Caenorhabditis elegans: one gene and its partners. The protein of the gene in region 1 interacts with the protein of each later gene in a pairwise test. Each region holds a gene or a part of one and is shown on either strand. Other genes may lie near its edges. The genes, in order: aap-1, spp-24 and rpl-3.

What was found.
Region 2: the proteins of aap-1 (region 1) and spp-24 interact in a two-hybrid assay, tested with the Caenorhabditis elegans proteins (one large-scale study listed by BioGRID).
Region 3: the proteins of aap-1 (region 1) and rpl-3 interact in a two-hybrid assay, tested with the Caenorhabditis elegans proteins (one large-scale study listed by BioGRID).

The regions. Positions count from the first base shown.
Region 1 is NC_003279.8:5,105,893-5,109,649, reverse strand, and holds the start of aap-1 (SH2 domain-containing protein), read right to left. Parts: upstream 1,808-3,757; 5' UTR 1,807-1,807; coding exon 1,634-1,806; intron 1,587-1,633; coding exon 1,327-1,586; intron 1,146-1,326; coding exon 880-1,145; intron 653-879; coding exon 221-652; intron 141-220; coding exon 1-140. Other genes in the region: use-1 (Vesicle transport protein USE1), read right to left, coding at 2,092-2,229, 2,279-2,454, 2,503-2,637, 2,682-2,769, 3,029-3,104, 3,155-3,210, 3,262-3,357; pas-3 (Proteasome subunit alpha type-4), read left to right, coding at 3,605-3,757.
Region 2 is NC_003280.10:37,950-41,191, forward strand, and holds spp-24 (Saposin B-type domain-containing protein), read right to left. Parts: upstream 1,589-3,242; 5' UTR 1,539-1,588; coding exon 1,464-1,538; intron 1,181-1,463; coding exon 1,001-1,180; intron 956-1,000; coding exon 656-955; 3' UTR 609-655; downstream 1-608.
Region 3 is NC_003281.10:3,865,779-3,869,535, forward strand, and holds the start of rpl-3 (Large ribosomal subunit protein uL3), read left to right. Parts: upstream 1-2,075; 5' UTR 2,076-2,084; coding exon 2,085-2,449; exon of another isoform or gene 2,450-2,451; intron 2,452-2,550; exon of another isoform or gene 2,551-2,666; coding exon 2,667-2,802; exon of another isoform or gene 2,803-2,804; intron 2,805-2,850; coding exon 2,851-3,291; exon of another isoform or gene 3,292-3,293; intron 3,294-3,426; coding exon 3,427-3,690; 3' UTR 3,691-3,757. Other genes in the region: acs-19 (Acetyl-coenzyme A synthetase), read left to right, coding at 1-172, 224-1,052. UniProt on the Caenorhabditis elegans protein: The L3 protein is a component of the large subunit of cytoplasmic ribosomes.

The DNA of each region.
Region 1 (3,757 bases):
TGAGAGTAATAGCGAACGAAGTCACTTATAGTTGTCAGGTAGACATTGCTGTGCTCGAATCCCCATCCTTCTTCGTTTTGTTCGATTAGACAATGTGAGACACGTTCTCCGTGAAGTACACTCAATACGAGCTTATCACCCTGAAAAATATTCAATTCAATTCAAAAATTAGCGTGAATGAGGATGAAAAGTTATTCTTCTGATAAAATCATAAACTAACATGAGAAGAGGATCCTCGAATCAAGAAAATACCATCTTGTGGCTCTCTTTTCAATCCAACAGCCTTGTCAAGTTGAGCGATCCGATAGCGAGCATGAATCAGAGCATTCGCAGCATTTTCCTTAGAAGTTCCACACATCAAATATTGTGCCGGTGTCCACTTCAATTCCATATCGACAAGAAGTTGAGTGACTTTCGTTGGCTCACTGTTTATCATTTCCGCTCCAGCATCAAGCATTGCAGCCATTCTCGAACAAAGTGCTGGTTCCATTTTATCATAGACTGCACTACGAAGTTCCATAAGCTTGCAGAGTCGTGTTTTTGAATTGGATCTTTTCATCGCGATTTCATCCAAAATTCCGGAGAGCGTCTTTTTCTTATCCTTTGATGACGTCAGTTCAGTGTTTATTCGTCGAATACTTTCTTCCACAAACTGCAAAATAAAAAAGATAAAATTCAAAACTATAATGGTTAAAAATTGAGGATTTGCTCTAAAATCATTTTTAAAAAACCGAGAAAAAAATTGAGCAAAAATTAATAATCCAGCTTTGAAAATATTGAGTTTTGGCTAAATAACAATTTTAAATTGAACTTCTTTTTTTTGCTTTAGAATTGTTTTTTTTTGGTTTTGGATGTTTTTTTTCTTCAAAAAACGCTTACTGTCTTATTATTTGCAAATGCTCCTTTGAGCATTTCACTTGTTGTCTGCGATCCCTGTATTTGTGTAACGACGTCTGTTTCAGCTTCTAACAAATTATTCAGTTTTCCAAGTTTAATCTCATTGTCCCGAACTGATTGATTCAAAGCATGATAGAGACTTTCAGCTCGTTCCATTTCTTGATGAGCTGAATCATATAGCTTGGCTCCTCTCTCAAATGCCAAATGTACTGCTCTCAAATTTTCCATTTCCAAGCGTTCTCTCCAATCTAAAAAAAGCATTAAATTTACTAATTTTTATTTTTTTCAATCACTCAGACGCGAAATTTTGCCACTTTCGCGATAAAAATATGGTACGAGGTCTTGAAACGACAAGAGAAATTCCGCAGCAATTAAAGTTTGAAATTACAGTATTTTTAAATTTAGCGTTTGCGTTATAAAATAATTTACCATGATCATTTTTTGCACTGAGAATCATACGCTGCTGAAGTTGCCCCTTCTTGAAAAATGGTTTTCCATTTTGAGAGTTACGACGAACAGAAACTGGATATAAAAGACGAACATCAAGTGCATCATTGAAAATATTGAGAGAAATATTTCGATGAAATTCAATTAATCTGACAACAGAATCGTGAGTTAATGAATCTGTATTGAATCCGCATTTTCCATCTTTAACAACGATTCGGAGAAGTTTCACTTGGGCGGCAAATCTGAAAAAAGGACTATTAATATTGAATACTAATTTTGAAAAACCCACTTCACAGAAAGTGTATAATCTCCAGGTGTACTAGCATTTCTCACAATAAATGATCCATCAGGTTGATCAGAAAGTGCTTTCGAAACTGCAGATCTATCAGCATCAGCCCAGTACCATCCTTGTTCCATAAGACTATGAGTGACTCCATGAGGAGTTCCAGGTGTTGTGCTCATTCTGAATCCTTATATATATATATATATATATAATTAACGGAGGAGAAGAATCTGTGGTGTTTTTGCCGAAGTAGACTAAATCTGGCACAAGACCAAGCCGAGACCAAAAAGCAAAGCATTGAAATTTGTGAAAACACCAAAAAAAACCAACAAAAAAAGTATGTATAACATGGTCTGTAGACCAATGGAAATATCAACGAGAAAAAAAATTCGAAGAATGCAAATAATTAAATAATTTTATTTGAAATATTTACACCCATAAATACTAGCAATTCGTCCCGACTATTAAGTGCTCGCTTTTTTGAAAATTTTCATCATAAGAACCATTGATACGAAGCTCATAAAAATCAGAACAATGAGCATGACCTTGAAACAGTCATAACCACATTTGTAGGCGTGACGCTCAACTCGCTCACTTTGAATCTGGAAATTTTAAGACTATTATTTGAAGTTTATATAGTGAAGAAATTACCCCGAGAGCTGTTTTATTATCATCGACTTCTTTCGCCATTAATATTGCTCTTTCTGTATCTTCTTTAATCACATCTCCAGCAGCCGACATCATCGTTTTGAATGATCTCGCCATAGTGGCCAAACTATTTGCTAGCTCCTCCTCGACAAGCTCATTTTTCATGAATTCCTGATCTTCTATAAAATTTGACGAATTTTGAACAATCATTGGATACTAATTTTTACCAGATGTGTCTTGTGCTCTATGTTTATTAGATGAAAGCAACTGCTTCCGAAGATCTGATCGATAGATGGATCGTTGAGTAGCTCGGAGTCCAGCTGCGGATTCTTTTTCAAAATCGTAACTTTCCGCCTCGTTATCTGCAATATAAACATTAAAATGAAATATTGAATAATTCAAAAACCATTCTTGGAGTCTGCAACAGTTACTTGGACATCGGGAAATACACGTGGAATTTTTTCAATCACTTTCAGGCGCTCCTCGGCTGACGACTGGAAAACTTACTGACAATTTCATAACAGTTGCGAAATTCACAAAATATTTAAAGCTGTTCAACTTGTTTTCTTTACTTAAATCTAAATTGAAAAGAGGGACATAAAATCTACGGAACATTTGCATAATATTTTAGGATTAAATTTTTAATTGAAACAAATCAAACAAATTCAAATTAAGTTTAGAAATTATGTAAAAATTTGTATCTTTAAAGCAAAATTACAAGATCGAATTTGCTTGTCTAAAATATCTACAAACCTTGCTTTCAGCTTCAGCGAGTAATTTCAGTTGCAAGACTTCCTGTCGGTACTCGTGGAGAATATCATTTGTGGTTCTGGAAAAGTAAAACTATAAATATTAAAAAATGTATTTTGAAAAACTCACTCATCGTTTTGAAGTGTATAAATCATTTTATTGAGAATCTTTGTAGCTGCAGAAACCTGAAATAAGAAAAATAATTAATTAAACAGAACTTAAAATGTGATACTTGCTTTCCAAACGTTTGCTGACATATCCTCTTTTGTCAAGCGCTTTGTTCGCTCGAGAAGTCGTAGAAATTTCAGCTCATTTTCAGAAATATACGCCATTTCATTGATGTTTTGACAAAATTAGATAAAAAAATAAAAATAAACGTTGACAACTTGAAAACAAATAAGTTCGGCCACGGCCGAGAAATACAAAAATGCAAATGCGCTCATGCGCGAAAAAATTTTCAAGTCATCCTTTTTGTCGAGGACTGAGAGATTCTTCTTGTTTTATGTAATTTTTCTATAGGTTTCTGCCGTTTATATTTTAAAATCATATTTGTCTAGATTATCTTTATATTTTCAGAGAATGGCCCGTCGTTACGATAGTAGAACGACCATCTTCTCTCCGGAGGGAAGACTGTATCAAGTCGAATATGCTATGGAGGCTATCAGCCATGCTGGAACTTGCCTCGGCATTCTCTCATCGGAAGGAATCGTCGTTGCTGCTGAGAGAAAGAAC
Region 2 (3,242 bases), on another chromosome or scaffold:
AAGGTATTGAAACATTGAAACTTTTCAAAATCTTGCACTGGGTGCAATGTGTAGAAATATATAATATCAATAAAATGAAAACTAAAGACATTGGTTCACTCATCAGTTTTAATAACATTTCTTCTTCCTATGTTCTATTGTTGTATGTTATAATCGGCGACTTCACAAAAGAAATAAAACATGAAAACTGAACAGAAACACAAATAAAAGAAACCGAAACACCGAACAATAACAACTTATTTTCAAAAATGAGAATTTTGCCAAAATGAAAGGGAATTCACAAAATTATAAATACAAACTGTTGAATATTTAAAAGCATTATGCGATAAATAAAAAGTCATGCGGCATTTTTCAGTACTTTGAACTACTATGAATTCGGGACAACATTTTTAAAGAACATTTTTGAAGCATCATAGTTCTACAGCACTTTGTGATGATATTTCTATTTTCCTGTGTACGTGCCTACCTACTGCCTATGTTTTGCTTTCCGTTGAAAAATACGGGTGTTGGCAAATTAGTAATCACCAAAATTTTGGAAAATTTGGTGTGCATGCAACGCTGAATTTTTCCATTTAGAAATTCCTTTTTATAGTGTAATTTTTCAAACTATGCTCAATTTTGTGTTTATTTATATTTTAAAAAAAACACACATATATTAATTATAAGGAGCTATGTCTTCAACATTTAACGTTGCATTCACAGATTTTTCATCGATTGTTAAATGTCGTTCTATCTCATTTGCAGGCTTTGCAGGGGTTCCCATACTCTGATTAGGTGACACACCAGGCGGTCCATTGTCTTTAGTTGTCGTGCCAGTAGACCCATTGCACATTCCCTGACTTTCACATATATCCTTTGGATCTCCTTTTTTCAGTCGTTCCAGATTCACTCTATTTATCACATCACACAAGCTACTCGAATCATCTGTCGAATTTAGGCATTCTTTTTTGATTGTCTGAACAAAAATAAGGTTTTCTTTACTGAGATTATACTTAACAACCTCTTCAAAATTGGTTTCTGTTTTTTGCCGTTCTTTGAGCTTCAAAATCACAACTTGGCAGAATTCGCAAAGAAAATCCAGTGGAATAAGTTGAAGACTCGGAGGATCCGGACTCATGACATCGGTTTCATTATCACGTGAAAATGTATACTTTATTAATTTGTAGTCCGGTTTTATTGTCTGTAACACTTTACTTTTTTCTCATATCCTACTGCGCGTTTAGCTCAAAGCTTGTAACTTCAGAACAAGACAAAGCTCGTTATTTTTGAATACCGTATTTCCTCTATTAGTCTGGCACCCCCTACAAACCGATTGATAATAATCTTGCATGTAAGAGTAATAGAGGAAATACGGTGTATATAATTTAATAGAGTGCAATCTGTGACATATCTACACAAGCCTTCTAACTTTGAGATTACTACTCATAACTTTGTTGAAAATACAATCATTTGTATTAACTCACCTGTAAGTCCTTAAAAGATGGGGCAATTGGAATACTATACACTGGTAACACTAAGCACAAAAACTTTACGAGCATATCTCCCAGTTTTCTGAATGATTGTCTTTTGAAAACCAAATGGGTGGAGCCTGAAAGCCGATAATTAGAAATGGAAGAGACCGAGAATGACAAGAGAACTGAAAACAAAGAAGAGTATTAAGAAGGGGATAATCTACGCAAATTGACATCACGAAGGTCATCTTAGGAATGGTGGGTTAAACCACAATGAGGTCTGAGTATTTCAAACAACTGAAAAACATAAGCATCGAATGCTGGTACAATTGAATTGAACATGCAAATTGTTCCATCCGCAAAGACCTCCGTGCTGAACACGGAACTAAACATTTGAGCCAGGAGTGTACGGGCGAGTTTAACAAAATCGGCCAATTCCTAACTTTGGAATCATTATCTATAAAATTTCCACGGCGGGAAAAAGGGTGTCAACTTACAGTCAAAATTAGCCAAATACCACAGGAAAACTTTTCAATATATTTTTTAATTAACAGGGCTCTAGAAAGCAAAAAAACTTCAATTGAAAATTATTTGTTCCAAAAAACCTAAAACTTGGTAGTCTTTTCCCGCGTAAAATTAAATAAAACATGTTCTTTTCCATTTAAAAATTCAATTTTGCGCGTAAAATATGGTAAGTTGAGAGCACACATTGTTATTGTCACGATGCACCATGTCTAAAATGTAAAAGTCGAATTGAAAATTATTAAAGGTGGAGTCTTTTGAGAATTTTCTATTTTTATAAATGAAGCCGTGAGAGACAAATTATAACTGTAAACAATTTCATACAAAATTTCCAAATTGGTCTTGCTATTTTTGAATTGTACAGTTAACGTTAACTGTTACGGCAACAATAAATCATGAGAATGCGTACTTGGTGCATTTTATTTGACGCGCGATATCTCTTAGCGAAAACTACAGTAAGAACTCAAATAACAATAGATATTTAAGCTCTTACTGTAGTTTTCGCTAAGAGATATCGCGCGTCAAATAAAATGCACCAAGTACGCATTCTCATGATTTATTGTTGCCGTAATAGTAATCTTTTGAGATAAAACCGAAGTCTTTGTAGAGTTTTTTGCACTTTCGCAATATTTAGAAATGAAATTGTAATCTTTTGAGACAAAATCGGAATCTATTCGAAAATTTCAGTAATATTATTATGACGCACTAGTTGTGACTCCATAAATGTAAAATACTTTTCGCAAAAAAAAACCTTGTGCAACCAAAAAAAATTTTTTTTTTTAGTATTCAGTAGTTTAATACTCACATTGTCTGAGAAATAACATCAGGGAAATTTTGTGAATTTTTTCACTTAGATTTTCGTAATCAGAGGAGAGCCATTTAATAATATTTTCCAGATTTCGGTTTATCATAACATGAACACAAAATTCTGAGAATGCGTACTGCACAACATATTTGACGCGCAAAATATCTCGTAGCGAAAACCACAGTAATTCTTTAAATGACTACTGTAGCGCTGGTGGCGATTTACGCGCTCGATTTTTTGAAATTAAATCTTTTTTTTGACTAGTGACAGCGATATTTCTTTTTCATTCGTTTCTTTGCATAATTTTCTCATGTTTAGCGTGATTTTAATATTTTATCGATAAAAAAATTATTTCAATCCATTCGAGCCCGTAAATCGACACAAGCGCTAAAGTTGTCATTTAAAGGATTACTGTAGTTTTCGCTACGAGATATTTTGCGCGTGAAATATGTTGCACAATACGT
Region 3 (3,757 bases), on another chromosome or scaffold:
TTTATGGACCTTTGATGAATGGGCTCAAGGGAATTTGGTATGAAGGTGTGCCGACTTATCCGACTCCTTCTAGAATGTGGGATGTCACTGATAAGTATGGTGTGACCAAGCTGTATACCTCACCAACAGCCGCAAGAGCTCTTATGGCTCTCGGAAATCAGTGGCTTGAAAGGTAATAATTATTCAAAAATAATTGTTCAGCATCTTTATTTTTAATTTTCAGCTCTTCTCGCAAAACTCTCAAGGTTATCGGAACAGTTGGAGAGCCCATCAATCCTGCTGCATGGATGTGGTTGTACAAGCAAGTTGGACTTTCCAATGTATCCATTGTGGATACTTACTGGCAAACTGAAACTGGAGGACACATGATCACATGCCTTCCAGGAGCAACTCCAATGAAGCCAGGAGCAGCTGCAATGCCATTCTTCGGAGCATCTCCAGTTCTTTTGGATGCTGAAGGTCGTGTTATTGAAGGTCCGGGAGAAGGATCACTATGCTTTGATCGTGCCTGGCCTGGAATGATGCGTGGAATCTATGGAGATGAGCAACGCTTTGTCAAGACCTATTTGGCTCCATTCAATGGATACTATTTCACTGGAGATGGTGCCAGACGTGATGAAGATGGATACTTGTGGATAACTGGACGTGTTGATGATTTGATGAATGTCAGTGGTCATCTTCTGTCTACTGCTGAAATTGAATCAGCTCTTGTGGCTCATGAGAAAGTTGCTGAAGCTGCCGTTGTTGCTGCTCCACATGACATCAAGGGATCCTTCCCATACGCATTCGTCACTTTGAATGTTGGAGAGAGAATCAATGAAAAGCTTGTGGCTGAGCTCAAGAAACTAGTTCGCGAGAAAATTGGTGCATTGGCTGTTCCAGATGTTATCCAAGAAGCTCCAGGACTTCCAAAAACTCGTTCCGGCAAGGTTACCAGAAGAATCTTGAGAAAGATTGCTGAAGGATCCGAAAGTGGAATCGGTGATACTACTACTCTAGTCGACGAATCTGTCATCAAACAACTAATCTCTGGACGTTCTGCACGTGCATAAACGAACTTGAACAATTGTAAATCAATTCAATTCTTACTATTAATGTTACTTTTTCTGTATTACTTCTCTTTTCCCCCTCTATCGTTGTAATTTCTGCAGAATCAATGCAAGATCTAAACTTTTAACCCCAACATGACCTTCTTTGTAATCAAGATGCATTCCCTGATTGACTCCTGTGTAGAATTAAATTCCAGTGTTGTAATTTCCCCCAGTAATTTATTGAACCCTGAATTCGAAATTAGAAAACAAGTAAATGATTCAGAACTGATTAATTGTTTTAACTCAATTTCAGATTTTCAGATAACAATTTTGGCTTATTCGGATAATTAAAACACGAAACATGAAATTACAAGAAGAAGATTAAATACTTACATGGAGAAATGCATTTCATATGCCCAGTGAATCTGATGTTTAGCTCAATTTTTATGAATTATGATAAAAACCACGAAAGTTCAATACAAAATAATATTTGATTTAACTTGCATTGCAAAATTACAGGAAAATGAATTATTTTAAGCATAAAGTGTGTTGTTTTGATAGGCCGTTTGAACAAAGCAAATCGATTTTCTTGATTATATAATGATGCTTCAAAATAAAACTTGATTTACATGAATATTTCCCGTTAAAAAACAATGTATTTAAAAACATTATTATTTGCAGAATCTCTCCAACTGCGAAAGAAATCGAATTCAAACAACCGCGCTTGTCGTACACTTGTACACTCCGCCGCCACAGCTACGGTAAAAGCGTGTTTTGCGACGCACAAGTGTGCGCCGAGTGTGTGGGTCTCCCAACGCCTTTCACTGGCCTAAACTTCATTTCAATTTGTTTTAGCCTAAAATTTTCATGTTTTTTTCGAATAAATTTTGTTTTTTTACGTGCAATTCTAAATTTAAAATGTTCAAATTAGTATCTGTCTAGAAAAGTAGTTATTTAAAAAATTTTTTAACCGAAAACGCAATTTTTATTCTTTGTTCGCTCATGCTTTTTCTATAATTTTTTCGTAAAATTAATATTTTTCAGGGTACAACAATGTCTCACCGAAAGTTTTCGGCCCCGAGACATGGACACATGGGATTCACCCCAAAGAAGCGCTCCCGCACTTACCGTGGAAGAATCAAGGCTTTCCCAAAGGATGACAAGAGCAAGCCAATCCATTTGACCGCTTTCCTCGGATACAAGGCCGGTATGACCCATATCGTCCGTGATGTCGATAAGCCAGGATCAAAGGTTAACAAGAAGGAGGTTGTCGAAGCCGTCACCATCGTCGAGACCCCACCAATGGTTATTGCTGGAGTTACCGGATACGTCGACACCCCACAAGGACCACGTGCTCTTACCACCATCTGGGCCGAGCACTTGTCCGAGGAAGCTCGTCGTCGCTTCTACAGCAACTGGTTAGTTTATTTTTCAACTATTTCGTTTTTTGTATTCAGTGTTATGGTGCGTTTTTGGTGTCATTTGGTGGTTTCGTGATTACAAGTCTGTATTTGCAGTCGCGTTTCTAAGTCGGTTGCCTTCCGCTGTACTTATGTACATGATGGTAAACGAACTGAGTGGCTAAAGCGTCCTGTACGCTGAAAGGCATTTTGTTCGTAATCGTAGAAACTACAGGGCTAAATCCAAGAAGAAGGCTTTCACCAAGTACGCCAAGAAGTGGCAAGATGAGGATGGAAAGAAGCTCATCGAGGCTGATTTCGCCAAGCTGAAGAAGTACTGCTCTTCTATCCGTGTGATCGCTCACACTCAGGTAATATTTATATTTAGTTTGTTTGTATTCTTAAGTTATATTTTGCAGATGAAGATCCTTCGCCGTCGCCAAAAGAAGGCTCACCTCGTCGAAATCCAAGTCAACGGAGGAACCATCGAGCAGAAGGTCGACTGGGCTCGCGAGCATCTCGAGAAACAAGTCCAGGTTGATACCGTCTTCGCTCAGGATGAGATGATTGACACCATCGGAGTTACCAGAGGTCACGGATTCAAGGGAGTCACCAGCAGATGGCACACCAAGAAGCTTCCTCGCAAGACGCACAAGGGTCTCCGCAAGGTCGCCTGTATTGGAGCTTGGCATCCATCTCGTGTCGCCTTCACTGTCGCTCGTGCTGGACAAAAGGGATTCCATCACCGTACCATCATCAACAACAAGATCTACCGTATTGGAAAGTCTGCTCTCACTGAGGAAGGAAAGAACAACGGATCCACCGAGTTCGATCTTACCCAGAAGACCATCACCCCAATGGTTCGTTTTATTTTTTTCACCGTTCTATGAAGAAAAAGTCTGCAATTCGTACTCTGTATGGCGACTATATTTTATCTGAGAACATCGGGCGTTGTAATCAATTTTCATGAATTTTTAATAATTGTTTTGTTTTAGGGAGGATTCCCAAGATACGGTATCGTCAACCAGGACTACATCATGCTTCGTGGAGCCGTTCTCGGACCAAAGAAGCGTCTTATCACCCTCCGCAAGTCGCTCATCACCCAAACCAAGAGAGTCGCCCACGAGAAGATCAACCTCAAGTGGATCGACACCAGTTCCAAGACCGGACACGGTCGCTTCCAAACCACAGCCGAGAAGCGTGCTTTCATGGGAAAACTCAAGAGAGATTTCCTTGCCGAGGCCGAAGCTAAGGCTTAAATTTGTTTATTCAAATAAATTGTTATTGTTATCAAATGTTTCTTCACTGTTCACATTTTGAATACAC